3 linked regions of the Rattus norvegicus genome follow. The protein of the gene in region 1 purifies or fractionates together with the protein of each later gene. This does not show direct contact. Links are inferred from orthologs where the notes say so. Each region holds a gene or a part of one and is shown on either strand. Other genes may lie near its edges. The genes, in order: Gna13, Arhgef1 and Arhgef11.

Region 1 (10,680 bases):
CTAGGAAGCTGTCCCCTGTTCCTCCCACTGTCACACACCCTGTCCTGTCCTCTGTGGCCAGTGTTGCTTATACTGCTCAACTGTAACTGTAAACTGAGCTGGGAGACTGGCAGGCGCTGACTCCTAGGCACTGGTTAGTGTGCGCTGCCAGCTGTATCATATCCAGCCAGCCCTCCACCACCCACCTCACCTAGACAGGCATCCACATCAGCAAGTGCCCTAGCCACTGCCAGCTGAGAAGCTTTCCAAGGGACGACAGGTCTCATAAGCACAGTGGTAGGCTTCCAGGACTGACACCAAGGTCAGGTACATGCTAAAGGACCACTCCTTCTGACAGATCACCTGCATGTGCCAGCTACAGCCGGAAAGCCACCTGACGTCTGGACACAATGTGACACTGAGGTTTTTCTCTTCCATGTAAGCTATTTAGTTTCCCACAATAGAAACTCACCAGAGAGGGACATGTTTGATGGTGAGAATTTTGAGAAAAACATATCAGCACCCAAAATTCCAGCTAACAAAGGAGTGTTCTACTGCAGGGTCACTTCCATCACCTTTTGTCTGAAAACCAAGAGGTACTCGCTCATCTGAAGCAGAATGTAAGATGTGACAGGCGCTCTAAAAATGCAACTCTTCTCATTTCGATTTCCGTAAGAAGTCTGAAAGAATCAACCACAGGCCGAAAGGAAACCTTTTAAAAACATTTATCTAGTCACTGAGGAGAGGTGCTTATGTCACAGCTTGAGTGTGGAGGAGGGTCGCAAACATCCATAAATTCAGCTCTAGGAAATCTAATATCCACTTCTGACCTCCATGGGCACTAAGCCTACATGCAGGCAAAAAACACATTAAAGAAGAAAGAACTAAAATAAACAAGCAAATAAACAAATAAACCAATAAAAATCTGATTATCACTGTTCCAAATAAAGATCTAATGTATACATGTGACCCAGAAAAACCATGGCAGAACTATATAAAGAGAGCTAGGGAAGTGGAAAGTCATGCCACATGGGAATTAGGAGGTTACGAGGGTATGTGTGGCTACCTATCAATTATACTGTTGAAATCATGGGTAAGCTAACTGGAGCCTTTACCCACAACAAGAGGTACATTCTCCAGGCAGAAGTGCGCTCTCTGAGTAATCCCATGCTGTCTCAGGGAGACCACTTCTGAAGTGTTAGAGCAACAAAGAACACCACAAAAAGACGTGAATGAACTCCCAAACTTTACGGAAGAGAAGACAGCACGTGGGCCTCTGCTCTACGAGGGAAAGGTGCTGACAGTGACTTCAAGCAAGGTGCTCTCTCAGTGCCAAACACCATTACCCATTCAAAAAACACAATAGTCAAGTACCCACCAAGGCCAGGCACTGCTGACAGTGCTGAAACACTCTCAGGGTAGGACAATCCTCAATCTGCTTTACAAGTAGATGCCAACTTTATTTTCTTGTCTGTCCCTCTACTTTTTTATCCGGGGTGGAAAGGTATTTCTGGAGCCTGCCTCTCCCTGGTGCTGATAGCATTCTTCTACTGAAACATTAGCTGGCCCGAGTCAAGAAGACACAGGCCTTCTGAGTAGGTTTGTTTATTCGTAAATAAAACACACACACAAACCTTTCTCAACAAGGACACAGACCTTAATATGAGACTCAGATGTGAAAGCACAGATTCACAATCTGTCCGTGACACCCCAACTTCAATTAGGTAGGCTTGGGACAAACACAAGTTTCTTTCCCACAGGGAACTGTCAGGTCCACTGTTGTTCCTTTATTCATGGAGGGTGTACTGACTGCTTACTGTGGGACAAGCTGTTTTCTCCCTGGCCTTTGGAAGATAAACATCTGAGAAAACACTGGAAAGGGAGTCTACCGAGAAAAGAAACTAAGGAGGCCAAGAAGCTACCCTCAAACAGGAGGGTGGAGAAGAAAGCAAGGAAAGGGGATATGTGGGGAGCAAGCCCAGACTCCAGAATACAGTGACGACAGGGACCAAAGGTCAAAGCTAGCCAGAAATCTGGTGACTCCATGTCACTGATCAAGTTAAACTCATACTTCTTGATATACAATGCTGCCAGCACTCAATGAGATTTAACATGATGTATATCCACGATGAACTATACTAGCCAGACATACTACATTAAACAGTAAGGAGCACAAGACATGGGTTTAGCCAAAAAGATACCATAAACCTTCCTTGTAATTGTTCTAGAAAGCATAGACTGTTCCTGAATACTGACGGCACTAAGGAAGTCTGGTGGCTGTACATCTCTGTCTAGTCACACCCATGAGGATCTCTTGAGTGTTCATGACATCATCAAACAATTTCCTAAGCAGTTTTGCTTTAACTGTCACTCTACTGTAATTACATTACAGGAAAGTGCTTAGGACCTGAACTATTGCTAAACTGCACACTGACCACATTGCTACTCTGATGGACCCTTTCTGGTTTTCGGCAAATAGAACCAAATACAATCAAAGCGCTCACAATTAGATTATAAACCATTTGATTAAAAATTCCATCTCAATTCTTTTTTGTATCTTTGTTTTTTAAGTCGGGGCCTTGCTGTGTCACCCAGGCTGGCCTGGAACTTGTGATCCTTCTGCCTCTGGTTTCCAAGGAGCTAAGATTACAGGCATGAACCACCACCTAACCCAGTCCATGTATCTCTCTTTAGCCCTGGGTTATATCGGGCTTTCCTACTCTTTCTTCAATGGTGTATAACAGCTACAAAGTATCTTATAGTCTTTTTTAAGATAAAGGAGGGAAAACAAATGGAAATTATTTCCCATGAAAATAGTACTTTGTTTCTTATAAAGAAAGAGTTCAGTCTCTCAGCTAGCCACAGTGGGACTCATGTCTATAATCTCAGCACTTAGGAGGCAGAGAAAGGAGGGTTACTGTAAGTTTAAGGCTAGCCTGGTCTACATAGCAAGAAAAGAAAAAGACTCTAATCTCTCTATAGCAAACTCATCTGTGTCACTGGGTAAGTGGTTCAAAGGCTGACTGGAACACGTAAACCACCACATTCACCAACCAAACTTCTATTCTAAAAAGCCATCGCTGGAGAAGAGCATGGAAGTCACAGTTGTAAGAAAAATAACTTTTTAAAGAGAACAAAATTAGAATACCGGGGAAAGTCATTCCAACCTTACTTTCTAACCAGTAAAACAGCTTTACTACACCTACAGAGTTGACCTCATTTTTAACCTTGCTTAGTAAAAGGCACACACAGCAAACCGAGTTTCTGAGGCTACAGTTTTGAATTGATACATTACACTGTGGAAGTCTATAACAGTGTGCTAAACCTGACATTGCTAAATGTCATTAAACAGAAGCACCTCAGGGTTAGGGTGGCTCAGCAGGTAAAACACTTGCCCCCAAGCCTGAGGACCTGAGTTTAATGCCCAGAACCCATACCCTAGGAGAGAACCATCTCCCACAAGTTGTCCTCTGGCGCCTACACATGTTCTGGGGCATACATGTACCCACACACACACATAAATAAAACCTCGAAAAATAAAAATAGATAAATAAAAACACATTTTAGACAAGCGAATGTCTTACCAGTTGGAATTCCCGGCGCCGATCGTAGGCATTCTGTATGCCACTGTCATCCCATAAGGCTCTTATAGCAGGAAGATACTGCAAAAAAACTCGAGTCTCCACCATCCCCTGGGCAGCCATGGGAGCTCGGGTATCAAATGCCATCAACTTGTCTCCGTGGACCTGGTTTTTGTTATCTCCCCAGGGAATATGAAGCTTCTCTCGGGCATCTACCAGCACCCTCATACCTTTGTTTAAAAAGAAAAAAAAAAAAAAACTGTGAGGAAGAGTCATGAAGATACCACCAGAGGCTTTGGCCCCAGGGTTGGTCAGTATTGGTTCCTTAATTTTTAGCTATCACAGAAGCCCCACTTCCAAAATGGAGACCAAAATCAAAACAAAACCTTTATGTTCTCAGAGTTAAGAAACAAGTAAGTGTTCATTGTTTCTCAAAACCAGAAGCCTTGAAAATATTAATAACAAGAACACTTTGGGAAGGATTTTAATATGCTGCGATTCATAAAAACCATTTCTGGAGGAGGGCAGTCAAAACCAGAGACGGAAAAAATAAATAATGTTGTCTAGCCTGAAGCCAGGCTAAAGTCAGCCTGGCACACGCTAAGAACGGTTTACGGTGTGCAGTCGTAGTCCTTCAGCTCCCTGCCCACACTATCTTCTAGGACACACTGAACCTCAAAGCTTCCTCAGTCCAAGCTTCTAATCAGTGCAGTCACACACTGGCTGTAGAGTTACCCAAAAGGAAAACCAACTGCAAAATAATCCGAGACTGCACTTACACAGGTTAGCCCGAACTCCACGACCCTGTGGCTACACTGCTACTTCTGTCACCGGGAAGTCATTTCTTAGGATACTCGAAGAAAAAAAATTAAGCTTTCACTTTTCTGACCACGGCGATTGAAGAAAATAAGATGCCTAGTTAGACTTAGACTTGATCACACAATAATGCTCAAAGTAGCTCTTAGGCCCAGTGTATAAGGAAAAGCAGGTGATTTCCCTCACTCACAAGTCTGTTCATTAACATAATTCTTTTAAGTTCAACTGTATCAGGATACAAAGGTACCTTCAATTAAGGGCTGGCAAGGTGCAGTTTACAGCCTTAGAGGAGACTTTAATTAGTTTTGTGCTGAGCATTAAGGCAGACTACCCACAACCATCCTTTTCACTTAACAGCAAAGGTACAAGGTCTTAAGTAAGAGCAAGCCATGGTCTGCTCTTGGCCTCGCCCTGCCCTCTCCTCTCACTGCCCAGCAGCGAATCCTCTTTAGTTCTTCCCTACTTGAAACACTGATGGGGGGAGGAAGGGACCCATGAGGGAGTTTGCTTATGCACTTCTTGAACAACAACAAAAAACTGGCTTTGAAACAACTCCCTGAAAAGACCTACAATCTTACAGTTTGCTTCTGAGCCCAAGATTTAATAGGGTGACTCCTCGACCCCTCAGAAATCGGCTGCTGTGCCCCAATCCTGCCAACTTCTCTTACACAGAAAATATTTGACACTAAAGGGGAAAAAAGGGCGATTCTTTTAAATGACAAAATAAAAAGCCACCTCCGCGACTTATCTGAACACTAAGGAATACTTTGTGTGGTTTTCACTTAGGAACAGTCTTTAAAACACTGTTCAACAGGATTTGTAAAGCCCATCATCCAACTCAATGCATATTCCCCGCCTCTCACTAACTTGTCTTGGATGGTCTTCTAAGACTTTTATGCCAAAGGGTCTTTATATTTAAACATGAATTCGTTTAAGCATTGGTAACGATGCCGTTTTTCTCCTGCCTCAAGTTATTAAGCAAAAAGAAAAAAAAGTGTGCAACATGTTGGGCTGTAATTACAAACATCCTGTAGCAATGAGCCGATAAAACCACTGGCGCTATTTTTTTTAATAGACTTTCCTGATGCCAGTTCAGTAAACGCGAGTTTCATACTCTTACCTCAAAAGGCTCTAGAGGCTGTCACTCTATGCCCTTGACAAGAGTCTCAGGGCAAAAAAAAGTTTCCTCATTACGACCGTTCCAGAACTTGCTTAAGTCAAGAGGTGGCCTAGGACGCCCAGAGCTGTAAGGGTGACAGACCGGGTTACTAGAGTCACCCACTCTGGACGGGCAAATAAGGGAAGAAGAATAGAACCTAAAGCTACTGATGGGTGGTCGTGCCTGGAGTTCAGGGAGGACACAAGTTGCCCCGCTGCCCCGAGTCACTCTGCTCGCCGCACTTCCCTCTCGGAGGGGGCGAGGCCAGCCGCGGAGTGCGGGGCCGACCGTGACCCTCACTGGGGTAGCACGGGGAGGGGGCGGGGGGACAGCAGGGCGTCCCGGATCGAAGGGACTCGGGCACCGCAGCGCACAGGACGGTGACCGAGGCGCGCCCACAGGATTGCCCGTCCGATCTGGTCTGGTTCGGTCTCCTCAGACTTGGGACCGGCGGGTGAGGGCGGTGCCCAGCCCGGCTCCCCTGGGGTCCCCAAGCCCCGCCGCGCCCCGCACCTTTGATCACGTTGCTGTAGATGGTGGGGCGGAACTCCTCGCGCGCGCGCTGGTCGAAGTCCTGGCCGTGGATGATCCGCATCTGCTTCAGGAAGGTGGACTTGCCGCTCTCGCCCGCGCCCAGCAGCAGGATCTTCACCAGCCGCTTCACGTAGGTCTTCTCCCGCGACAGGCATTTGTCGATCTCCTTGGACTTGCGCTGCTGCTCGGCCTCGCCGTTCGTCAGCACGCAGCCCGGGAAGCACACGGACAGCACGGAGCGCGACGGCAGGAAGTCCGCCATCTTGCCGCCGCCGCCGCCTCGGCGGGCCCCTGCGGCTCCTCCACCTCCTCCTCCGGCAGCGGGTGGCTCCGGCAAGGCGGCTGGAGGGCGGGGAGCGCAGCGGCGGCCCGAGCGCGCCCGGGGAGGGAGGGAACCCGAGGACTGACTCGCCAGGGCGGGACGCGCCGGCCGGGGGAGGGTGGGAGGGAAGGAGGGCGGGCCCGGGGAGGGGCGGCGGCCCTCTGGGCGTGCGCGCGCCCGCCGCCTGCCGGGTGCGCGCACGCAGGCACGCAGCGGGGGCTGGGGGGGGCGGCGCGAGTCACGCGCTCGCTGGCCTGGCTGAGGCCAGGAGCGCGCGCGGAGAACTGCGGAGTCCGGGGTCACGTGGGCCAACCTGGGCGCGCGCGCGCCTGCGGATCCAGAGTTTCTGTTTCCCTTTAGTGCCACCGTTTCCCGGAGCCCCGAGGCGAGTAAGCAAAGCCCATCCAGACCCCTTTCCGTTAAGGCATCCTTATCTCTACAGTTTCCACTGCTCTTTCCCATAGTTCCTCGCCCGCCGCTTACTGTCACCTTCACGCGACCATTGGCTGGGACATCCCTGCACGGACCAGGGCATTCGTTACATTTTGCCTTTTTTTTTTTTTTTTTTTAAATTCTTGAGACAAGTTCCCTGCGGCTGTAGCTGGCTTAAATCTGTGACAATTGTCTTATCTCAGCCTCCCTGTCTACTTCTGGTATTACAGGCCGGCCAGGGCTTTATTTCAAGCTCGTGCACTTAATTAGCAGCGGTCACCGCCTCCCCCCCCCACGGCCCTCACCCTACCCCTGCCATCCTAACCATCCCGAAGGATAAGTAGATGTCGGATGTCCTTATTGATCAACACCTCTTCCTAGCAGCTCAGGGCACTATTGATAACCTGCCCTGGCTGGCTCACTAATGTGGATTCCCAGCCGGGCTGCATTTGTGACTTGGGTAATGCCTGCTGAGGTCAGTGAATGGTGGAGAGGGTGAGGTCATGTTGAAAATCCCCCTAAACCGGACACTATGATGCGATGCTCATTCTTCCCAAGGAAGCAGATAAGCGTTCAGCCTAGGACTGCGGCAGGCACATTTTAGGTTTCCTGCCAGACTTCAGAGGATATGACAGACAAGAAAAATTTTTTTTTCTGTCACACCAGCAGATCAGGCCTAACACCTGAAAAGACTCCCAGGGAACACGTGACAAGTGACATCTGAGTGACTGTGTAGCAAAGACCTCAGAAGCCAACTTCTTCATTCTTTGTCAGTTTCAAAGGGGAAAGGCGGTTTGATGCCTGTCTGGTTTTGCTCCTGGGTCCTGGCTTGTGCGCAACTTGGGAACTTCCTGTGTGTTAGGGAGCTGGGGTAAGAGGTCAACACCGTGATATGCGCAAGTTTAAATTTTAAAAACCAGTGCTGTAAATCAGTCAGTCAGTTACTGTCAGTTTGGGCCAGTGACTGAGAAGCTCATGACTCACTACACTGGCTGCAGTAAACAATACCTGTAGTGGAATTGTCTCCTGTTACACCCACAGAGACTGTGAGTGGATCTAAGCCCACAGACTAGACCGGCTGCAAAATAGGCTGTGCTCACTTTCAGAATCTGTGGATTGCTAAGGTCAGGCCTGATTCCAAAGTCTGCTATGGATGGATGGTCACTATATAACCTTGACCACTGTTAGAGATGCCCTCCCTGTTCAGGGTCCATGGAAAGGCTACCCAGGACAGGTAGGTGCGAAGCCCTTCGGGGTGACCTCCGTGTTCTAATCTGAATTCTTTAGCAGAAACAGAGGAGGGAAATGCATACGTTAGATTAAGCATCTTCGTTTTCCTGAGGTGTGCACAACATAATGGGAAAGCAAGCATGCCTAGGAGGCAGGAAGGGATTCCTGCCTGGCCAGTTCTTGTCGGGACTTGTAGTACAGCAGGGAGGCTGTTCAAAGCCCTGAGTGGAACCTCGCCTCGGAACAAATTTGACTGGAGTTGAGCCTGGCTGCTCTAATCAGGGTTTCTGAAAAGAAACGTTTAAAGCCGGGACCCGGCTTTGGTTGCTGCGTGTAAACCAGTGATCAAGACACTTTGCAAATCATAAGCATGAAAAAGTCAGTTTAGTGGTTCTTCAAAAGCTAAACACAGAACTACCACGTGACCCGGCAGGTCCACACCTAAGTGTATACCCTCAGAAAACCGAGAATGCTGCTCAGGCAAAAACTTGGACACCCATGGTCCTGGCAGCGCTGTTAAGAACAACAACGACAAAATAAATGAATAAAATTTAAAGGGGGGCGGGACTTAAAAAGACCCAAATGCCCATTGGCAAATGAATGGCTAAACAAAATGAGATTCATCCAAGCAACAGGTCTCCCAGTCAGAAAAAGGGTAAAAGTGCTGCTAGAAGGGACTGAGGAGGTGACTCAGTGTTTAAAGTGCCTGATGTTTAGACATGAGGGCTGTAGTCTGATCTCCCGGAGCCCACAATAATGCCAGGTAGCATAGTGGCTTAGAAGACAGAGACAGGAGGTCCAGAGCACACTGACTAGCGAGGTTAGCTAAAGCAGCAAGCTCTGGGTTCAAGTGAGATCCTGTCTCAACGAATAATGAATGCATGCTCGCAGGTACACGCGTGTGCCTCTACAGACGTGAACATTTACCAAACATACGCTGATACACGTTACAAGAATCAACTTCGAGAATATCACCCTCAGCGTGGGAGGCGCCTATGGTATGGTTTGGTTTCTGTGAAATTTCCAGACTAGGTAAACCTGCAGAAATGGAAAGCCTAGTAGTCGTGAGGGCTTGAGAAGCAGGGAGGAATGGGGAGAGCTTAATGGGCTGTTTCCTTTGAGGGCGAGGAAAGTGTCTGGAAACCAGAGAGTGGTGATTGTGACAGACCACTGTGACTGTACCAAGAGCTGAGCTGCATAGGTGAAAATGGCCAAGCCATTCATATGTAAGGCGAGTCTCACTACAGAAGGAAAAAAGTGAATTAAGAAAGAGCTTTGTTACATAAATGATACTTGGCATCAGCTGACGCTAACTTTATGGAAGCGCCAGTCTGTAACATTAATGAAAGAAAGGGCCACTATGTAGCATCTAATGAATAGGGATGTTACACTGTGCAACCTGTCCTGAATGGCAGTGCCACTGTGTCAAACTAACACGGAGCAAGTGATTTACAGAAGAAGTGGCTGTCTCCCCTTACGGTGTCATGCATTGGTGATATTCTCAGTCACCGTGTTTTTCTTAGAGGGAAAAAATAAAACTCTAACTTCTAAGGGATGGCAGAGCCTACCTGTTAGAATTGAGCCTGCTGGAGCCTGTTTCTAACAGATCCAAATGTTCATTCTTAGGAAAGGTGGATATCTAGACTAGTCAGTCAATCCGTATGCAAAAGAGTGGTTTGGCCCTGCCCCAACCCCAAGCTGGGTTACAATGATAGGGACACTTGAGCAGTTGCACTGTTTTTTCTGGAAGGTCAAAGTTTAGTGGCAAGACGAAAGGAGCCCTTCCTTGTTTGCTATCTCCTTCCAAATCGGTCCACAGTCCTTCAGAAGCTGAAAGACTTCTGTCTTGAAGTCACTGTTTATGTTTAATTTTTGAAAAATGATATTACTTAGCTTATTTACCAATCTCTGTGCCAAGTAACTTTGGCCTGTTTACAAAAAAAAAAAAAAATCAGGATTATCCACAAAGGACAAAAATGTGTCACCCTCAGACATATTCAAAAGAATGTGTCAGACGCTCCAGCAACAGTTCCAAAGAGGAGCTAAGAAAGAAAAAATAAAAAGGTCTTTCTTTTGAACGATGGCAAATATAATTCAAATAAAGGCTTGGCTTACCAAGGTGACTACTTACTGGTCAGGATGGGCCAACACCCATTTTGACGTGTTTATTTAAAAGTCAGTCACATCAGTTGGCAGTTAAATCTTGAGTTAACTTTCTAATGGGGGACAATGACACATGCAGCGTTGGACTTGCGAAACTCTCACCGCGTGAAATAGATGGATTCTAATCCTTCCTTACAGATAAAGTAGGCATGAATACTCTCGTGTGTCCCTTTCTCTTCCAGGAAGGGAAGGGAGCAGGGGATTCCTGAGCACACTCCCCCCCTCCCCCCCCCCCCCCATAATACAGGCCTTGCAGTGTGTAATGTTTAAAATGCCTGCAAGCACTCTGACCTACTTTATCTCATTCACTCCTCACAATAGCCCGACTAGGAACACTAGGCCCTAGCCTCCTGCTCTTTGGCCACCGCAAAAAGCTGCCAGGAGGAAAAGCTTAAACGACTCCCTTAAAGTTTCGCTTACTGTGGCCAGCTGCAGAGCCTGCCAGGACTGGAAGCACACACTAT
Region 2 (10,341 bases), on another chromosome or scaffold:
AAGCTACATCCCAACCGCTGGGCCCATCTTTCCTCACCCCTAGTCTCCTAGGTTGTTTTATTTGGGGGGGGGGGTTGTCTGTGCATTTTCATGCAGTACAAGACTCTTGGACATCATCCCCTGACGAATAGCTTGTACTGGGTGATATTGAGTCTCCTTAGGCCTAAACCCCCTATCCTACACCCACCTACCCTCCCACCCACCCTCAGCCAGTGCCGTGGCTTCTTGCTAAACCAGGGACCGGGGGTTTCACCTCTATAGGTGTTTCCAGACCACATACTTCACTATCTGTGCCTCCCAGGTGTCTCCTGCTTGGTCCTGGAAGTTTCTGTAGTTTTAGGTCAAGTCTTGCCCTGTACCTCAGCTGACTGAAGGCGTGGCTGTGCTCCTGCCTCCTCCTCTAAGGTGTGTGTTATCACACCAGGCTCAAGACATTTCTAGTGCAACCACATGGAGTTTGTCTGGGTTTCTGGATCAAGGTCTGAGGCGCTCTCTAAGTCTGAGATGGCTAAGGGAACCAAGTCCTTGACACCTGCCCAACCTAACGGATGATACCTGCTGAGAAGGCCTTGCTGTCCCCAGCCAAGGCCAGCTTGGTGAGGGACAACGTTACCAGTTGGAGATGCTGGTAAAGGGCAGGACATGCCATCTGTCAGGATGCCAGATTCTGCTGTATGTACTGAGGCCTGGGCTCCCTGCTTACTAAGGCTCACCCGGGCATCTGCAAGCCTGTTTGTGGCATAAGCCTGCTTTTTGTGCCTTGTCTGGGGTCCTATTTCTAAAACTCACACTGTGTTCTGGATTTTCTAGACTTCTTAGTTGCCTAGCCTCATTCCTCCTCTGCCCCCAACCCCTGTATGCGTCTCACCAGTGGTCCTGGCTCGAACTGCAGGGCCACGTGTTGCAGGAGGGCCATGAGGTGGGCTGGGCGACGCTTCACTTGCTCCAGGCTCTGGAACTGGCTGTTTTGATCTTCTGGGTTCTGTTGGGTGGGGACAAGGGAGCTGAGTGCCACGGGGAAAGAAGGGACAGCCTAGGCTTGCCCTACCCAGTCTCTGGCACCTCTAAATGGTGGTGGAAATAGGGGTGGATGTGCCTATGCTACAACCCAGACAGTAAGGGCAAGTAGCTGGGAAGAAGGCATGAGACTTGATGTTACTGGGATGTTATGGAGAACTTGAGTACTGAGAAGGGATATGAGTCAAGTGGGGGAGGGGTAGTGATAGGCTGGGGTTAGAGTGAGAAAGGTGGCAGTCTACAGTGGACGGTGACACTCGGTATGGGGTGGAAGATGATAGTGTGAGCGGAGAGGACACATCCCAGGAGGGAGAACTAGGCCCTTGGTGGACACTTTCCCACCCCACCCTGCTCACCGCCTCCAGTTCATTCTCAAAGTCCTCATCCTCAGCCCCGATGATGATGGACACCAGGCCAGACCGGGGAGGCCCTGGGGCCTACAAGGGGAGACACGACTTCAATCCACAGGGCTTCCACCTCACAGAGCACCAGAGCTCCCTCACCTTGGCTCAGATCCTCTCCCAGCACCGCACTCACCGCCCCTCCGGCGACTTCTCCCATCTCCAGGACTCCACGGGGCTGCAGAGAGGAAGAGCAGTTAGGGGCGGAGAGGAAGTGCCTAAGGCTGGGCAGTTACTCACAGATTCCTGGCCCAGGTGCGGAAGGTGAGTAAACACCCCCACCCCCAGCCTCCTAAACTCAATGGGGCCTCTGTGTGGCGACAAAGAGCTCTTCACAGCCCAGCTGAGGCGGAGAGACCAAGGAGGGGGGCGGGCGGGCACTGGAGCCCAGGAGCATGGGTCCATGGGTGGGCTGGGTGGCTGTGGTAAAAGCCACTAATTTGGGTCACTAAACAAAGAAGGATCAGGGCCCCAGAGGGCTGGCTAGTCCTCCAGGGGGAAGGACTCTAGAACAAGCAAAGTTAAAAGAACAGTCCTTAAGGAGGAGGAGTTAGGAAGGGTATTGGGGGGGGGGGGCAGGAGGAGGGCTATATATTCTGATCTGTGGCAGACCTGGGCCAGGATGTTGCCTCTGAACCCACCAGCCCCATTTCCTGTGACAGGAAATGTCAATGGTGAACCCCCAAGCTCCAACTCCCTCTACATGAGAAAACAAAACTGAGTCCCTCTCAGTCAGACAGGTTGAGCTCTTGAGCCTGGTGATTCCCTACAGTTCCCAGCTTTTGTAGCTATGGTTCCAGAAAATGATGGAGGGGGTGGGGCTCAACAGCCCACTCTCAGGTGTGTGCCACCCCTTTCAATCTGAAGCAGTTGTGGTCCCGGGAATCTGTGGTCCACCTCTCCTCCCAGACCCATCACTTCTGCTGGCCACTCCTCTGCCTCCCTATCTCTCCTCCCTCATCTCCCACAGCCGTCCTTCCACTGCCGGTGTTGGTTCTGTCCAGCTCCGCACTGAGTCTCGGCTCCTCATCCCGTCTTCCCTCTACTCTCCCTTTTCTGAGCGTCTCCCAGACCCTAATTAGTCTGACTAATGCTGTGTGGATCAGTGTCAGGAGGGAAGGAATGGTGGAAAGAGTGTGGGGTGGGCCAGTAGGGGGCGGTGGGTCCCCACACCCCAAAGCTATTTATAACTCCGGCTGCCTGAGGCCCGCCCTTCTCCCACTTCCATCAGCCTCCTCCCTAGCACTCAATGAGCCATTGCTGTGATTCTGATTTCTGAGTAAAGACGCCTTCTGGAGTGTCCAGAAGTCATGGCTGGGGGTTCCCCCAAGCAGACATTGTATTCTCTCTCAGCTGTATCTGTCCACCATTAAAGCTCGGGTGAACATTGCTGAGTGTTTAATAAATAAACGTGCAAACCAAGCCAGCAAAGAAACAGTGGTTATCATGAGAGATAAGCCCATACGGTATGTGAGAGTTGCTCTGGCTATACCAACTCAGTCTTGGCTTTTCTTCTAGACAGGATCTCACTCTGAGGACTGGCCTCCTCCTGTCTTGATCTCTCAAGGTCTGGTATTATAGGAGGGAAACACTGCGTCTAGTCCCACCAACTCCCGACTACTAGCACCCGTGTACACTCATCCTCCTGAAAAACCTGATGCCTCCAAAGACCGCCCCTTCCAGACAACCTTCTAGGCTAGAAACCATGCCCAGACCCAGAGCCCCCATGCTCATCTCAGCAGGAAAATTGTTCACCTGAGAGACCCTAAAGGAGCCAAGGAGGGTTTGGGGGGTGTAGCTCAATGACAGGATATGTGTTCAGTCATGTAAGAGGCCTTGAGTTGTACCCTGAGCATCACCAAACAAAGCAACCAGATTAACATTTATCCTCCCCTACCCCCATCTCAGACAGGAGACAGGGTTTATCTGCGTAGCCCAGGCTGTCCCGGAACTACGTAGAGCAGGCCAGTCTTGAACTCAAGAGATCCGCCTGCCTCCTAATCCCCAGTGCTGGAATCAAAGGTGTGTGCCACCATACCTGGCTCTTACACATCATCCAAAATGGCCTCCTTAACTCTCATGTTAAAGTCTTTATTCACTCACCTCCCCCTCCCCCCCAAAAAAAAACAGAACCCAAGGAAGGTACAAAATTTAAACAAATGTTCACCAAAACCCTGATTTTCACGCACAGTTAACGCGCATTATCCCCGTATTCCCCATGACAAAGATAAGGAACAATGACTGACACTTCACGTGTCCTCAGACACAGCATAGATGGGGCACACCAGCTTAGGTTCTATGCAGGGTTCAGGGTCTGTCTACAGATGTTAAAGAATTTAATCCTCTCACTGACCCAATGAAGCCAGCATTATTTTGGTTTGTTCTTTTACAGAGGGGGAAATTGAGGCATGGCTTATAAGAGTCAGAGCCAGGATTCAGGTTCAGACAGTCTGGTTCCACAGTTTGAACATTCAGCATATTAACATTGCTTTGAGGCACCTCCCTCCCCCCAACCCCCCCCCCCCGACATTTTGGCCTTAGGACACTAAAATGTCCATCTATTAGGGTCTGAGACACATCATGTCTGATGGTGCCTGGAAAAGTCATGTGGCTGCCGTGACCTCAGCAGTCAACCAGGATGGACTCAGCAGCTCCAGAAGCCTGGGCTCAAAGAGAATTTGAAAATTAGATATAGGTAAAGTTGGCAAAATGAAGCCACTGACAAAGTCTACCAGTGTCCGGCAGAGGGAGCATTTTGCACTTGAGGCTCTGGAGGTGGGGTGGATGGGGGAAGTCAGGGCAGGTTTAGGTTTATGCAATGGGGGGTCCTGTAGAAGGAAGCACATAAAGGTACCTGGGTTCGTTCTAAGGGCTCACGTTCAACAAGCCTTTGGAAAGGATTATTCAGGTGTCCAAGAACCTCTAGGAGCCTTGAAAAAAAAAACTACAAGAGGGCCCTGGAATGTATACAACCCCACATTCTATTTGATACATAGTGGGCCTCAAGAATCCAGAAAGATGGTGATTCTAAAGGGAAAACTAATGGTTTATGGGACCTCGAGAGTGGTGTGTGGTGCGTTCTGTAGGGCCCTGCCTTGGTCTATGAGAAGCCTATGTTTATGTTAAAAGCCGGGTTTCCGTGAAAGGCTTCCTGAAACCTGGAAGGTATGTAAGATCTTATTGACCTGTGTAACGTGGCGGCTCTTCATGAGCCCTAAATCTTACATGGGACGTGGCTGATCTACACGGGCCCTCAATAATTCTGCAACTGTGGCAGTGTAGGTGGCAGGGAAGACGTGTGGGGTCAGGTTTCACGGCAGCCAAGGCTGCCTATCTCACCTGTCGGATGGGAAGAGAAGCAAGCCACTGCAGCCTCAGGAACCGCGCTCGAGCTCCAGGTTCCCCCACCCGCGCCGCAGAGTCGCTCTAGCCGAGCCAGAGGCCGCCTTTGCGTCCAGCTCCACTCCTCCCTCCGGCCGCTCTAGCCCGCCCTCTACACTCTCCGGCCTCGGCAACTCCACTCCTCCTGCAGGCTGGTCTAGCGCTACACGGCGCCACGCTGGCCCAATAGGGCCGCTCTGGTCTGTCTTGGAGGACCCTCGCTTCCGTATTTCGACTGCCCCTGTCACTCTCCCGGGCCCCGCCCCCTTCGCAGGAGTGGAGGATGGTTCCAGCGCCGGTTTAGGGCTCCAGCTCCGAGAAACTTCAAGTCGCTCAGGTCCTAAGTTCCACCTTGTCTACCTCCCCAACTCGGACCTATTAAACTCCAAATGCTTGTGTACCGACTCCCTGTCACCACTGTCAACTCCTCCCGCTGTAATTGGAAAGAAAAAAAAAAACACCAAAAATCCAAAAACCCCACAGAGACACAAAAAAAGCAAACCAAAACATAAAACACCCATGCGCTTGGGCATATATTTCCTCCTGACAGACCAACCTGCAAAATGCAATGACTTCCCTTTAGGCCTCAGTCGTCCCATCTGTTCAATGCGGATATGTTTCCGGTTCTCTCCCCTACAGCCATCTCCCAGAGTATAATTAATAACACAGAGGAGGGTAAAAATCAAAAAGCTTTCTGAGACGTTTTCAACGCTCTGTTACTCTCAGCTTCAAAATGCTCTGCAGAGATACTTGTTTATTTTAGGGAGCTCTAATCAAACATCCATGACTGCGGGGACAGCGCTTTACAGGAAACAGCTTCGAGTTCAAGTCCCAGCTGCTATCTTACTTAAGAGTGTATGTCCCTGCAACAAGGCAGTCCGACTCCCTGGGCCTCAGTTTCCCTGCTGATAAATAGGTGTTATCGTTCTGCACTGAACAGTTGGGAGCCTGGATCCCAGCCTAGTTCATCTCTACCTACTATGCACTCTCTCGCTCGTTCCTTCTCTCTCTATTTTGTTTTTCCTTTTGAGGCGGGGGTCACGCTAGGTCGCGCAAGCTGACCTCGAACTCATGGCAATCCACCTGTCTCTGCTTCCCAACTTCTGGGATGACAGGCGTGCGTCACCGCGCCGGGTTTTCTCTTTGCTCTCTTTGACAGATGAGAAAACCGAGGGCAGAGAAAGACGACTGCAGGCGACTGGGCGCCCCCCCGGGAGGCCCTGGGCGCCGGGTCCCCTCCCTGCTCCTCCCCCAGCGGCGGAGTGGGGAGGAGGCCGGGCGGGGCCAGGGACGGTGTACCTGGTGTCCGCGCGGGGAGGTGACCGGCGGGGCGCCCGAGGTCGGGCTCGGCGATCCCGGCCCAGCGTCCCGACTCCGGCTTCCTGGCTCCAGCGGGCAGGAAGTCGGGGCGTTTTTCCGGAGCCCCCGCCCGCCGCCCCTCCCCGCTTCCTGCCCGCGCCCCGTGCCCGCCCGGCACCTCGGCTTCCTTCCCCTTCTCGCCACCCGCACGGCTCCTCCTTTCACCGCGGGCGCGGCCCCACACGGCCCCGCCCGGCTCCCCTTCGCCTTTGTCCGCCTCTGCCGCCCGTCCTGCTGCTGCCCAGCTCCTGCCCTGACCCTTCCTCTCTCTTTCTCTCAGTTTGAGACAAGGGCTCACTTTGTAACCCTAGCTGGCCTCGAACTCGTTGTGTAGAGTGGGCTGACCTCGAACTCAGAGATGCCTCTGCCTTGGGATTGCAGAGATTAAAGTTAAAGCTGTGCGCCACCACCCTGGTCTCTTTTTCAAAGCTAGATGGGCTTCCGACTGTAGGTCCACAATGTCAGGGGCCCGTTCAGCACTCATTGCTCTCTGGCCTCTGCTGCTTCACCCTGATGCAGCTCCCCAGTGCCGTTTGATCACTTTGGGCCTTTTCTTGCTGCTGGCTGTCTCTTCTCTGAGATTTCAGGCTTTGTCCTTTCCCCAACTGTTGTTATCCCCCGGGGCCCAGGCCAGCCACTTTGTGTCTGTTTCTTCCTTTGGCTTCTATTTCTGCATCCAGGTCTCTGGGGATTCCCTGAGTCTCCTCTTTGCCTCCTGTCCTTTAACAACCTTTCTGAGTCTGCTCTTCCCATCCCAATGACTACTCTAGATGTCTCCATCATCCCCAGGTTCTTGACAGAAACTCTCCAAATCTGCCTAGGCAAGTGAACCCATGAGGGAATTAGGTCCCACTCCTGGAAATAATACCTTGTGTTCTCAGAGCTTAAATATGGGTAAAAATTTGGTAAGGCCCGGGCTGGTTCCCCCTTGCTTAGGGACGTGAGGAGGGTGAGGCCCTATAAAGGAGATAAACCAGCATTTCAATTGGGGTGGGGACTTCCCCAAGAGACTTCCTGTTATTTTGGGGGTTGTGGGGTTGGTGAGGACAGACAGCCAAGACTGTCTGGTCCCAGATCTCAGAAGTGGTCTGGTGAGAACTTAGGTCCAGAAACCTGGGTCTGAGGGAGGAGGGGACTTGTGTTTTCTGCTCCTGGTTCCCTGGCAGCATTGAGGAGCAGTCCACATGAGATCCATGACTCCTGCCAAGGGCTGCTTTGGGAAGGATTTATTATCACTTAAGTGGCCATGACAGATCTGGGAGGAGGGGGGTGACACTAACGAGCCTGCTGTAATCAGCTCCCCTAGAGGCAGCGATTAAGGGCTCATTACCCACTAGGGAGGGAACCCCAGGGGGAAGGACAAGAATAGGGTGGGGCAGCCTGGAGGCAAGGGTGGGACACTTCAGAGGGACAAGCACAGCGGAAGAGCAGCAGGGGCAGGGATTCTGGAGTTGGGCATAGGGCAGGCAGGGGCAGACAGCACAGCAGGATGGGGAGTGGGGAGGGTGGGGGGATGTCAGTCATGGTTTTTCCAGCTGGACATCTCCAATGTGGAGGCTGCCCACGTCCTGGTAGGTGCCCTGGAGTCCCCTGGAGATGTCCTCATACATAGAGCAGTCATCAAGATTCAGGCCCTGCAGGGGACAGAGACATCAGTACCCTGGCAGCTGCGGCCCTTGCTCCCTCCCAGTCAACTCCAGGGTGGGACCCAGTGCAGACACCACCCGCCATGCAAGGCTGCCTGCTGCATCCCAGGCATACTTACCTCATAGAGATTTTCATCTTCGTAGTCATCTGGCATGTCCACTCCAAACTTCTCATTTTGCCACCGCTTCTACGGAAGGGGATGAGGCAGAAGCGGCATTTAGCGAGGAGGGAGGCGAAGGGCTTTTAGACCGTCTTCTACTAGCAAGTGCTTTATCAGAAAGAGCAAGGGACACCCCCGAGGCCACATATTGGGATCTTGGCAGATTCTATCTCCACCCCTCTTCCCCTCTCTTTCTTCTTATGGGCCTCGGTCTCCTGCCTCGTGCCTGCATGTGCTTGCCACTCCACTCCACCAACAGTGTTAGATCTCTATGTAGTAAGAGCTACTTGGGAACTCACTATGTGGACCAGGCTGGCCTTGAACTCCCGACAGATCTGCCTGCCTCTGCCTCCTAAGTGTTCCTAGGATCAAAGCTGTGTGCCACCATGCTGGCCCTCTACTGTTCCTCAAGAAGTGTAACAGTGAGCTGGGAGTGGTGCTGAACATCTGTAATTCCAGTGCTTGGTAAACTGAGACAGGGCAGGAGGATTGCGAATTCCAGATCTATATAGTGAGCTACATCCCAGCCTGAACTACATAGCAAGATGCTGTCTTACCCTACCCACAAAAACAAAACAAACAAAAATGTCAAAACAAAAACAAAAATAAAACTGGTTGTGATGCATGCCTGTAATTTCGGTGCTTAGAAGATAAAGACAAATCAGACCAGCCATGGAGATACAGCAAGTTTGAGGCTAGCCTAGACTAATGTCTAGGTTTTAAAAAAAAAAAAGTGAGGGGTTGGGGAATTAGCTCAGTGGTAGAGCGCTTGCCTAGCAAGCACAAGGCCCTGGGTTCGGTCCCCAGCTCCGGAAAAAAGAAAAGAAAAAAAAAAAAGTGAAAGCAAAGAAAGTCCAGGAGATAGCTCAAGCTGGTAAGGATATTGCCATGGAAACCTGAGGACATGAATTTGATGTGGGGAATCCCACAGTGGAAGGAAAGAATCAACCCCTGAAAGTTGTTCTCCGATTCCACACTCGAGTGCCCACGTACACAACAACAAACCATAAATAAGGTGCAGGACAATGGTGGTGCACACCTTTCATTCCAGCACTCAGGAGGCAGAGGCAGGTGGATCCCTGTGAGTTCGAGGCCAGCCAGGGATTCATAGTGAAACCCCATTTAAAAAAAAAAAAAAAAAAACAACGTCTTGTAGCCTAAGGAGAAGCAGGGGCTCTGGGAGGACACACCTCCTTCCCTGGTCTTGGCTGCATTTGCAGGGGACTCCCTTTGGTGGGTCAGCAGGAGAGTGAGAGGGTATCTGTGAGGGCCGTGGGGACAGGCTGACCCCACTAGAGCTCAGTGCCACTGGAAATCCTTTTGGGGGTTACTCCCAGCCTCCCAAACTTTGAAGGAGGAACCTCAGGATTCAGAGGACCAGCTGGACACTGGGAGTCACAGTCCAGGCAAGCCAAGATAATTTGAGGGTGTCGCCGTGGAGAGACTCACCCTGAAGAGCAGCAGCGTCCCTGGCACCACTGCACAGAACAGCAAGATGATCCCTTCTGCCGTGATGATGCGGTTCTTGGTGCCTTCCCCCATGTCCAGGAAGGGCCTCGGGACTTGCTCTGTGAAGACAGGGTGCTGCTTAGTGTTCTGGTATCCCTTCCTCTCCCAGCCCTGCTCCTTGCGAGGTCAGGGAACCCTGAAGCCACCATCTGGCAGGTGACCTGCCAGGGTTACAGGTTGCAGGTCCAGGAGGGAGGAGCTGGCTCTCTGCTTCCAGTGTTCTGGATGAGCCGGAGAACAGAACTCCAGGGTCAGTGCCCCTCCCTACTCACTGCGCACTCGGAGGTAAGTGCCACAGGAACGCTTTACTTCTTTGCTCTCTATCACTTGGCACCAGTACAAGCCCCTGTGGCTCTTGTTAACTTCGGGGAAGATCAGCTTGCCCATGGGACCCAGGCCAGGACCCAGTGGCATTGGGGGCCATGTGCTGTTGGACTGGAGACTGAACCACCATGTGATATTAGGGTTCTTGCCGTCGTTCTTACAGGTGAGGACGGCCTCCTCACCCAAGTTCACCGTCAGGGATGGTGGATCCCTTTCTAACATCAGGGCCTGGCATCCAGGACCTGTGGAGAGATGAGAGGAGACAGATGGGTCAGAGCCTGGAGATGGAGAAGATTGCTCCAGCCCCCTTCATGCCAGCTCTCTCAGGAGTGGAGTCTCACTGGTGGCAATGGTATCTAGAATAAGAACAGACACCGGGGGACACGCCCTATGGCCTCTTTCTTCCATTTCCCCTTTGCATTTTGTTGTTCCCCCAACCAGCCCAGGGACTCTCTCTGAAGACCATCCCGTTGGTCCTCATTCTTCATAACCCTTAGGAACCTCCATGGGGAAGGGGGTGGAGATGGGGCACACCTTAGACCC
Region 3 (10,636 bases), on another chromosome or scaffold:
AGGCTATGAGCTTCCAGAGCTCCCTTATCCCTGTGTTCATTTAGGGACTACCCATACAGTTCCCACTATGTTTTTGGTTTCTGATTAATGTTATTATTTTTATTTTTTTGTTTAAGCTCCTAAAACAGAGGGCAGTTTCTCTGCCTGATAGTACTTTGACCAGGGAAAAAGTATTAGATTGCTCTATCAGAACATTTTTGATTATCAAGATTAAGCTTAGCCTGCCCCTGCCTTGTAATACTGACTCATGGCCAAATGCTTCATCTGCAAATCCACTGTTGTCTCCATCTCACACTCCAGACGAAGACAAGGGTGTGCTGTGGGCAAGACAGCACTCCAGGTCCTTATTCTTGCTTCTCTAGGTCTTTATTGCTGTGCTGGGAGACTCTCTTCTAAAGTAAATAGAAACTAAATTAAATATCTGGAGCTCGTTGGTCCCAGAGCTCACAGACCTCTCAGTGGTAGAGACCCCTGACAGTAACAGTTTTAGGGTCTGTATTTCTTCTGAAAGTTCCTTCTACGAGGAGCGGCCTGGGATCTTTCCTGGGGATTCTAGTGTACTTGCCTAGCATGCCGGAAGCCCTGTGTTTTACTTCCATCCCTGCAAAAAAAGGGCAGTGGGGAGAGCAAAACCCACAACAAATTCTAACTGCACCCCACAGAATGACATCTAATTAGCCAAAGTAGAACTCCCTCCCATTCATCCGAATTCCAGGGGAGGAGGCTGGGGAGTAGTCACTAGGTAAAGAGCTAGCCCTGAAAGCACGAAGACCTGAGTCTGGATTCCTGGAGTTCACTGGCCAGTCAGCAAGCTCCAGGTTCAGTGAGAGACCTTGTCTTAAAAAGTTAGATGGAATGTGATTGAAAAAGATGTCTCATGGGGTTGGGGATTTAGCTCAGTGGTAGAGCGCTTGCCTAGGAAGCGCAAGGCCCTGGGTTCGGTCCCCAGCTCCAAAAAAAAAAGAACCAAAAAAAAAAAAAAAAAAAAAAAAAGAAAAAGATTCCTCATATTAACCTCTGGACTCCACATATATGTGTGCATACAATCACAGAGAGACAGACAGACAGACACAGACACTCACACAGACACACACACACACAGAAGCACACACAGGCACACACAGACACACACACAAGCACAGACAGACACACACACAGACACACACACGCACACGCACAGTGATCTTCCTCAGTTGTTTCCCAAGTGCTGGGATTAGAGGATGGGCCACCACACCCTCCTATGAGTATTGCTTTTTTTCTTTTTGAGACAGAGTCTGTAGCTCAGGCTGGCCTAAACTCCCTATGAAGCCAAGAAGGGACTTAGATTTCCGATCCTCCTGTCTTTATTTCTGCAGTGCTAGGATTATAGGAATAAAGTGCTGGTGACTGAACTTAGTTCTTCCTGCACTCCAGCAAGCATTCTACCAACTAGGCTATACTCCCAACCCAGCATTGTTTTCTGTTTTCCTCACCTTGTATACTTCTGCAACAACAACAACAACAACAACAAAATATTCATTCCTAATTTCTCAAAATAACAGAACTTTCTGATACTCCTTAACTTTTAAGATGATTATTGTTGTTTTGAGACAGGTCTCAGTCCGTAGCCCTGGCTGGCCACAGACTTGATTTGTACACCATGTTGGCTTTGAACTTCCAGAGATCCATCTGTCTTTCCTTTCCCAGTGCTGAGACTAAAGGTGTGCTCCACCACACCAGCTTTAACTTGCTTTATATTATTCAATTCATGAAGTAGTGCACAAAGCTAAATCAAATCCATGAGTTTACTACGTAGAATGTAGTTTCACAACTTAAAAAGCAATTTGAAATGTCTTCTCTCATCTGGTTTGTGCCTTTCAACAGCCCTGGAAGGAGATATAATAAGCAAATTTCAAATAGCAAAACCAGAATCGTGTGAACAGGAGCTTAAAACTCCTGTGGCACTGCTGCTCTACATGGGAGGGAAAGGAGAAGACCAAGAATTCTTGGCAGAACTGTATTTTTTCTGGTTTGGTCTTTACATGAGCTACCATTGTGCAGAGAAAAGCCATTCTGTAGATACAAATTCACACCCTACCCAGCCCCAAGAATATTTACCCTGAGGCATAATCTCTATTTACAATACCAAACACATTTTCAGAAAACATTGAAATTAAGATGAAGGGCCAAAAAGATATTATGAAGAAAAACTTTGAGGGCAGGGGTAGCCACATTGTATCTCGTCTTTCACTAATGACTGGTGATCATGAAGAGAGAAGTCATCTAAAAACACTCCATGACTTCCATAGACCAGGTAATGACTTCCATTACCCAACAGGAGAAAACTGAGGTAAAGAACTGCCAAGTAGGTAGCCCAGTCTTTATTTAAGCCACACTCAGTCTCTAGATACATGATCCTCCATCCTGTAACACCAAAGAACCGTTTGCTAAAGTTTACCCTGGATTAACTATATGGCCAAGTCACTGGAACAACTTGCAGTTGAATTCACACTTTTTGGTATGTTCACTCGCCCCAGCACAAATCACAAGTATTTATGGAGCACTGACTATGCACCAGGCACTAAACTTAGCAGAAAGGACAAAAACAAGCAAACCAACAGCCCCTGTTTTCAGAACCAACTGTGCCACTTCTGTGGCCTTTTGGGGTGCTGTACTGTTTAGACAGGGTGTAACTCAGGTTTCAAACTTGTAATCCTTCCTGCTTCAGCTCCCAAGTACTGGGGCTACAAGCATGCACCACAGCGCCTACTTCCCACTTAGATCTCGTGCTCGCAGAAAGAGACGAGTTCTTTTCTAACACTTCTACCATCGTATACAATACATTGGCAAACTAAGAGAATAGGATTCCTGACACCATAATTTGAAACATTTCCTTCTAATCTGTTACTCCAGCATGGCATCAGACGAAATTATCATGCCAGGGGAGGAAGCAAGATTGTGAGTCCCAGATACACGGCAAGTTGGGAAGCCAGCAGGAGGTGACAAAAAAAGTGAATTATTTACATTCATAAGGCACGGCGACTGCGACATCAAGTTCAGCAGTGTACTTTGATTCTATTGCAAGATCAGGGAAGCCAGCAAGAAAAGCCAGAAGGGGACCTCAGTTCCAGGACTGACCCGCTCACTGGGGCAGAGTCAGGCAGGGTAAAGCAAGGAAGACTTTCCCAGGGAATAACACAGTGCTTTAACTCCAGAGATTACAGGTACAAAGTACAGGGGAACACTTGACAACTGCCTCACCCAACTGCCAGAGAGAGCAAAATGGTGCCGTACCCATTCTAAACGGTAAGTCTATAAACCTCTGCAGACAGGATAGGCAACAAAAAGGGTCAGGGATTCAGAATCAGAAGACTCAGATTTTAGACTAGATCCTGACACTCCTTAGAATACTGGACAAACCAGGAATCCACTCAGTCTCCTCATCTGCAAAATGTGAGCAGTGACTTGTCTACCTCACAGATGCATCAAGAAGGTCAAACAAGGAGTGTCCTAATGAGAGCACCTGGGACTCTGTATCTGTGAAGTCATGCAAGCTCCTAGATGAACACCTCATGCTAACCCAGAAGCCCTCACTGCCTCCTCCTCACACCCCTCAATACCCGGTTTCCATCTGCTCACACCCCTGAATTGACAGAAAGTCTTCACCGCCCCAAATCTTAATTTGAGTATACTAATCCCCCAGGTCTAAGGGGAGGGAGAAGGGTGGACTTGCAAACCCTTCACCTCCTTACTCTGACAGCTTCAGTTATCCTTTCCCAGGGGCAAATTACAAGAGACCACAATGGAAACGGGAAGGGAGATGGCAGCTGGCCACACTGCCTCTGTGGTTGCCTGCCTGCTCTTCCCAACTGTAGGCCAGTTCTCCCACACACAGACTACTAAACAGATCTAACTGGGACCCTGAGACAACACAGAGGTGGTGTTTGGGAGACATTATGTTTTAGGCTGCACTCCACAGTCAAAAGGAAATTACTATTAGCATGAATAGCGAGAGGTTAACCGACCCAGAGAGAGCAACTGCTGACTTACAGAGATATTCCTTCCTACCTCGCAAACACTAGTTTTCCATTTGACTGTTAGTTTCCAACCACCTTACCTAGCTATCCAGTTAGGATAGAATATCCACAAAACACACCCTGGTGGACGATTTTTAAAGAGGAAGGGTTGAAGAGGGGAAGGGGAAGAAACAGCAAGGCAGATACTGACCAAAGTTGTACCACCAATCCTTTGGAGGAGAGAACAACCACACTGCAATGCTACCAGTAAGAGGGAAGGCAGATCAGGCTCACAGGGGAGGGGCATCATGGGCTTCCAGCTGATTTCAAGGGCCTAAGAGGCAGAACAACTCCTTCCGGCTTCAAGCAGAGGGAAAGGCCTGTTTTGCAGAGTCAAGCTTATTAAGAACAGCTTGGAAAATTAAACCTAGAGCATCAGCCTGTTGGAAGGTCTCAATTTAAACTCTAAACCTGAAGAAATTCTAATGTGGCTAGACATTTTCAACCACTCGTGATACTGGTGACACTGGCAGGGTGTTTCTGTCCCAACATTTCAGGCCAGAACATCTTCCTCATTTTAATTGGGAACCACCCTACCACCGTGCCCACCATTCCTTAACAATCAGCCTGATGGGCTCACAACCCTGTCCGCCATCTCCCTTCCCTCCCCAGATATCTCAAGCTAGTCTCCACTCACCCCTGTGGGTTCACATAATCAGGCTTGGTCCAGCCTTGGAATCCCTAGGCTAGCAAGTTGGGGACTCAAGAGTCAGCCTTATGCCTGGTGTAGGGCAAAAGCCACTGCACGCATTACCCCCTCCTCTCCATCTTGATTGCTTACTGGTTATAAATGACACAGAATTATGGGATATATTTTGAACATGGACACACACGGAGGGCGCATAAACATATATACTGACAGTCCTCATAGACCACAACCTATCCCACAGCCCAGCCAATCAAACACAACACCTCCCTCCCAGTCTTTTTAATAAGTGTTGGAAAAATCCCAAATTATTTAAACATACCTGTCTATACTATGGGGCAATCGTATGCTCATGGTTTCTCCGTGTTTCCACAGTTCTGGAATCCTGTCGTTTCTTTGGGCGTCTTGATCAGGCCTGAGTCCCTTGCAATTTTCAAGGAAGGTGAGAGGAAGGCCTCCCAAGTTGAAGACTGAACCCTTGTTTCCTCCAGCTGTCAGGACCTTGGGAACTGCGGTGCTAGTCTGCTTCTATCAGTTAACATGGTCTCCTTCCGTAACCCTTTACCCTCCCCTCCCCTTGTCTTAAAAAAGAAAGAAGAAAATGGAAAGTAAAAAAAAAAAAAAAAAGGAAAAACTATGACCTTCTTAGAAACCAAAATGTTAACCACAAATCTCTTCAAGGTTAGCCCTACGGGCTAAAAAAACGAACCACAGAAAGAATCTGACTTCAAAATATCAGTCTTTGCTGCAGACAGATAAAAACCATCCTTTCAATCCAGTTTTCCCAGCTGTCCTTCTGTTGACAGGGAAGCTTTAAGCTCCAAAGGTTGAAATATCTCTGATTTTCAAATGCTTAAAATGCCAACAGTAGAATTATTCCAGGGAAGGAAAAACAAAACAAAACAAAAAGGCTGAACAAATCCGAAATGGCACTTGGGGGAAAAAAATCTTCCAGATGATTTGCACAGTTAAAATAAATAAAACCATACAGCAGTATGCACACAACACAAAGTCCAGTGCAGCCCCGGGAAGCAAAATTTGTGGAATTCTTAAAAATCAAAACAAAACAACAATCTTCTACAGTAAAGGTTTTGAATTCTGAAACAGCCAATTGTGCAGACACAGAGAGACACACAAAAATCACAAAACACCTGAAGCGCAATGCTTTCTACCTTCAAAACGGTAGCATTGGCCAAACCCCAGGAAATCTTAAACCTTCTTTTCCTTTTCGACCTGCAGGTTCCTCCACCTAGTCCAGTCCCGTGCTCAGCCACAGCCTCAGATCGGCCTTTTTCTCAGACAAATTCCTCAGTCAGCTCTGTGTGCTCCTGCACGTCCAGGCTCGGAAAGTCTCTCTCGTCGCAGCGCCCTGGAGCGGAGGTCCCGTTTCTCCTCGCCCGCCGATCCTGCCCGGCGACCCGCTCCTACTATTGTTGCGGCTCGGCTAGGGCCAGGGCGCCCTCCACAGCGGCGCGGAGAGCCCGGGCCGCGGCCTCGGCCTCCGTGCCCGCCCGCCCGCCACAGCCTCCCCGCTCGGCCGCTCCCGGCGTCCGCGTCGCGGCCGCTGCGCTTCCGGCCCCGCCCCCCCGCGCGCGCTCGCTCGGGCCAAGCCCGCGGCCGCCCGCCCGCCTCGCCCCGCCCCGCCCCGCCCCGGCCGACTCCGCTCGCCGGGGCTGGCCGCTGGCTCCTCCTTGGTGCCGCCCGCCCTTTCACAGCCCCGCGCGCCCCCGACCCGCGCGCTGCGGCCTAGCTGCTCCCGGTGCTTCTGTCCCAGAGGCTCGACCTTTGTTTCTGCAGTGTCCGCGGGCCGCGCCTCGATGTCCTCCTCTGCCCCTTTTCACTCATTTGTCGCGCTCCTTTCCAAGTTACCAGGAACCCTCCTAGCTGTGCCTCGGCCCCTCTGAGCACCCACTGACTCTGCCCTCGCGGCTGTGCTCGAATTAGCTTGGGTATCTTGTATGGCTCTGCCTTTTAATTTCTATGCAAAATCTTTTCCAGGGCAATGTTGTTTTGATGACACACACCCCCTTTGTGAAATCACGGTTTCCAAATCTCTTCCTGTAACTATCGGTAGTCAGAAGTAAAGATTGAAGTAAAAAAGGAGACAGAGGAGGAATTGTAGTTTTGCTTGGGTAAGCTATGCAGGCACTGGTGCGTTTCCAAGTATTCTCTTTCTGCCTGCCCTGGTCTTGGCCTACCTGTGTTAGCAAGAGGGAAAATAAACTGATTAAGCAACTATTTAGGACCTACTAAAATCAGATTTCCCTACTTCTTTTCCAGTACAGGTTGATGAATGCACTTTGCTATAGTGTGTGTGTGTGTGTGTGTGTGTGTGTGTGTGTGTGTGTGTGTAATATGTGACTTTCTGGTGAGACACATCTGTTCACATCAGATAGGGCACCAACAGTTTTACTGAAGCCTGTTCTTGAGAGTTAGTGGATTTATTGGGGTTGCTTCTAGAAACATGAGCCCCTAAAGGCAGCTGCACCAGCAAAAACCCATCCCAGCATGGGTGAGGACAGTGGACTACTGACCTCCACCACCGGAGCTGTTGGACTTGATATTGCTTCTGTAACCCTGGGGAGGAGCATTGTGACTCTTGGTTATTTCTGAAACTTCTTGAAGTTTCTGAGTGCTTACCTTCTGAATCTTAATAACTGTTGTGCTCTTCCACAGGTGTGCTTGTGGAAACCAGAGGACAACTGTGGGTGGCATTCTTCCTCAGGTGCCAAACAACCTCACCCCTTCCTTGGAGTCTGGTCTCTCAACAGCCTCAGCTTGCTGAGTAGGCCAAGAATGGCTGGTGAGTAAGTGCCATCCTTTAACCCTTCTCAGCATTGTGAATACAAGTTCACAGCAACCAAAACTCAGCCCCTTTTGTGTGATCTAGGGGTTTGTTGTGTAGCAGTTGCCACTCAATTTGGAGAAAATCCTTTAAGACATAGGATATGAAAAGGGAGGTGAAATATATATATATATATATATATATATATATATATATATATATATTTTAGGCAAGATGTTCAAAGGAGAGGTAAAACATTCTATCCTGCGGAGAAGCTCCTTAAGACAGGAAGTAAAAACTAAAATATGGCTTTAGAAAGTTCCTGAAACTGACTAGATTCACTAGACACCTCCCTCTCCAAATATATATAATCGATAAGAACTATTTAGCATCATTCTCAGACAATCTAACTTTAAGACCAACTAAGCAGCCTGGAAGAGGCACAGAAGACTGAGCCATCTACCTAGAAAGGACACACCTGTTAGCTGCTGTAGAGTCTGTGGTGTGCTCCAGGTTTCCAGCTTTTGTGGATGTGCTTTGGTGATACCACTGTCTCTAAGTCATTTCTGTTCCTATAAGAAAGTCCCTACCCACATTTCTGTAAGCCACCCTAATAAGCCTCATGGGTTCACCAAGTTGGACTGTGGTGGTGTCCATACTGTGCTGTGCTCTTGGTCCCTTTCTGAAGTGGGTAGATACTTGGTTACATCTTCTCAGGAAATGTCTGTCACACAATAGGGTTGAATGCAGGTTCTTGTACTTGCAAGGCATGGTTTTTTGTTGTTGGTGGTGCTGGTGGTGGTTTTTGTTTACTTTCTTTTCTTTTTTTTTAACCAACTGAGTTTTATCTCCAGGTGCTTGTTTCTTTGTTTTGAGATAGCATTTTCACAAAGCATCTCAGGATGCCCTCAATCTCTGAGCAGTCATATGTGGGACTTATTAGAATGGCTTACAGACTGTGGTCCAACAATAGCTGTCTACCAATGGAAGGAAGGGCCAAGATAAGAATCCAGTAGCCATTCAGTCCATAAGGCTGGATGTCTCGGTTGGTCTTCACTATACAACAGATTCCTGAAGTGCATTTACCAGCAAGAGTGAGAGCAGGGAGAGAGAGAGAGAGAACACACGTGCTTTATACAGGTGTGGCCCAGATTAAAGGTGCATCTTCCCACTTCCAAAGATCCAGATTAAAAGTGGGTCTTCCCAGAGTGCTTACCTAGGAAGCCCAAGGCCCTGGGTTCGGTCCCCAGCTCCGGGTGGGGGGGGGGAACAAAAAACAAAAAAAAAAAAAGTGGGTCTTCCCATTTCAAATGACTTTATTAAGAAAAAAAAATCTCTCAGGCTGGGCATGGTAGCTTGCTTCTTTAACCTTAGCACTCGGGAGTCAGAGGCAGGTGGATCTCTGCTAGTTTGAGGCCAGGTCTACAAAACTAGTACTAGGACAGCCAGAACTACACAGAGAAGTCCTGTCTCAAAACCACAAAACAACATAAAGCAAAAACAAAAAACAAAGAAGAAAGAGAAGGAAGAGGAGGAGAAGGAGGAGGAGAAGGAGGAAGAAGAAGAGAAGGAGGAAGAAGAAGAGGAGGAAGAAGAGGAGAAGGAGGAGGAGGAGAAGGAGGAGAAGGAGGAGGAGGAGAATATCCCTCACAGATATACCAGGCTACTTGGGTTTTAGTTAATTCCAGATGTAGTCAGGTTGACAACCAAGAACAGCCATCACACTTTCACTCCTTGTCAACTTGACACACAATCATATCTCCTTAAGTCATGCTTAATTTCTAAATGAAAACAATAACTAGGTCATAACTACATATAACATGATAAAAACTATCCCTCATATGATTAATTACAAATGCATTATGTATTTAAACCGTAATTACCCCAATGTGATATAACTATTCCTCATATAATCAGAAGCATATTATAAATTTTAGAGTACATGGTATTATCTCTTTAAGTATCTCAAAGTTAAATATTATAAACACAGATACTCTCTTCATTGATATTACATCACGTGATAAAGAAATTGAGGAAAGGGGGTTGGGGAGTTAGCTCAGTGGTAGAGCGCTTGCCTAGCAAGCACAAGGCCCTGGGTTCGGTCCCCAGCTCCAAAAAAAAGAAAAGAGAAAAAAAAAAGAAATTGAGGAAAGAAAACACAAATATATGTACAAACACATGCTTCACAAAACATGAGAGAAATATTTATGTCAATTATAATCCTTGTTTCTGCATCTGGTCATGTGATCTTATCTGGTGTCTATAACTACCTTCCTCTACTGCCCATTCTGTATTTTCTCCACTCTCGCAAGCACCTAAGTAGGTCTTGGCTTTTTTCTGGGAGGAGAGACCCATACCTTCATTCCTGAAGGGTCTGTGGTCTTTGTCATCCTGCCTGGATTAGGTTGTTGTAGTTTCCCATTGACTTTAATCACCAGACATGGTAGCACCAAAGGGTCTCCTAAGGAACTCCTGCAATGCAGACATAATCTTTCTTATCTCTATTGCAGAGAAGCAATCCAATTTTCCCTTGGTAATCTGGATCAACCACCCCTGCTAACACTGTTATTCCTTTCTTAGCATGTTGGCTTAATGGTACCAGAAGCCCAAAATGTTAAGTGGGGAGGTCTGAACTTCCAGTTCAATAATGCTTGTTGTGGCTCCTGGAAGGAACACTCTTTCCTCTGGAATCAAAACTTTTAGGCCAGCAGAAATTAAAGTCATGGGAACAGGAAGCAAAAATCCTAAAGGGTTAGTAAGGTGTAATAGTGAGTGACACTATTCCCTTTTCTAACCCTTGACTCCTGGACCTGTAGATCCTAGCTATGGGAGAAACCAAACCATATATTAGATATATATTCAAAGGTATTTAGATATATATTCAAAGCATATACCTCCTCTGGCAAACTCTGCAGATAATGAAGAATTGATTTCCTCAGTCAAAGGCAGGAAAAGCAGTATTTCAGGGTTTGGGGTGAGAGTAAATCTTCTGCTGAGGGTGGAGACTACTTCCTCAGGTAAGATAAACCCTCAAGAATCTGAGAGTTCTAAGTTCTCAGCTTCAATTTGGTCCTCCCATACGTCTCCATTCCAAGTTACAGGATCCCCCCCCCCCTTTTTTTAAAGATTTATTTATGTATGATATATAAG

Evidence for each region.
Region 2: the proteins of Gna13 (region 1) and Arhgef1 purify together in Homo sapiens (affinity purification with western blotting; 5 studies listed by BioGRID and IntAct, with this or other methods). This does not show direct contact. The link is inferred for Rattus norvegicus from reciprocal best matches to the Homo sapiens genes GNA13 and ARHGEF1.
Region 3: the proteins of Gna13 (region 1) and Arhgef11 purify together in Homo sapiens (affinity purification with western blotting; 3 studies listed by BioGRID). This does not show direct contact. The link is inferred for Rattus norvegicus from reciprocal best matches to the Homo sapiens genes GNA13 and ARHGEF11.

What each region holds. Positions count from the first base shown.
Region 1 is NC_086028.1:94,833,107-94,843,786, reverse strand, and holds the start of Gna13 (guanine nucleotide-binding protein subunit alpha-13), read right to left. Parts: upstream 6,332-10,680; coding exon 6,049-6,331; intron 3,791-6,048; coding exon 3,564-3,790; exon of another isoform or gene 452-3,563; intron 1-451. UniProt on the Homo sapiens protein: Guanine nucleotide-binding proteins (G proteins) are involved as modulators or transducers in various transmembrane signaling systems.
Region 2 is NC_086019.1:89,622,842-89,633,182, reverse strand, and holds the start of Arhgef1 (rho guanine nucleotide exchange factor 1), read right to left. Parts: upstream 6,194-10,341; 5' UTR 6,099-6,193; intron 6,040-6,098; exon of another isoform or gene 4,758-6,039; intron 1,597-4,757; 5' UTR 1,579-1,596; coding exon 1,555-1,578; intron 1,455-1,554; coding exon 1,374-1,454; intron 983-1,373; coding exon 869-982; intron 1-868. Other genes in the region: Cd79a (B-cell antigen receptor complex-associated protein alpha chain precursor), read right to left, coding at 7,679-7,792, 7,924-7,992, 9,415-9,533, 9,747-10,040. UniProt on the Homo sapiens protein: Seems to play a role in the regulation of RhoA GTPase by guanine nucleotide-binding alpha-12 (GNA12) and alpha-13 (GNA13) subunits. Acts as a GTPase-activating protein (GAP) for GNA12 and GNA13, and as guanine nucleotide exchange factor (GEF) for RhoA GTPase.
Region 3 is NC_086020.1:175,367,909-175,378,544, reverse strand, and holds the start of Arhgef11 (rho guanine nucleotide exchange factor 11), read right to left. Parts: upstream 6,256-10,636; 5' UTR 5,056-6,255; coding exon 5,024-5,055; intron 1-5,023. UniProt on the Homo sapiens protein: May play a role in the regulation of RhoA GTPase by guanine nucleotide-binding alpha-12 (GNA12) and alpha-13 (GNA13). Acts as guanine nucleotide exchange factor (GEF) for RhoA GTPase and may act as GTPase-activating protein (GAP) for GNA12 and GNA13.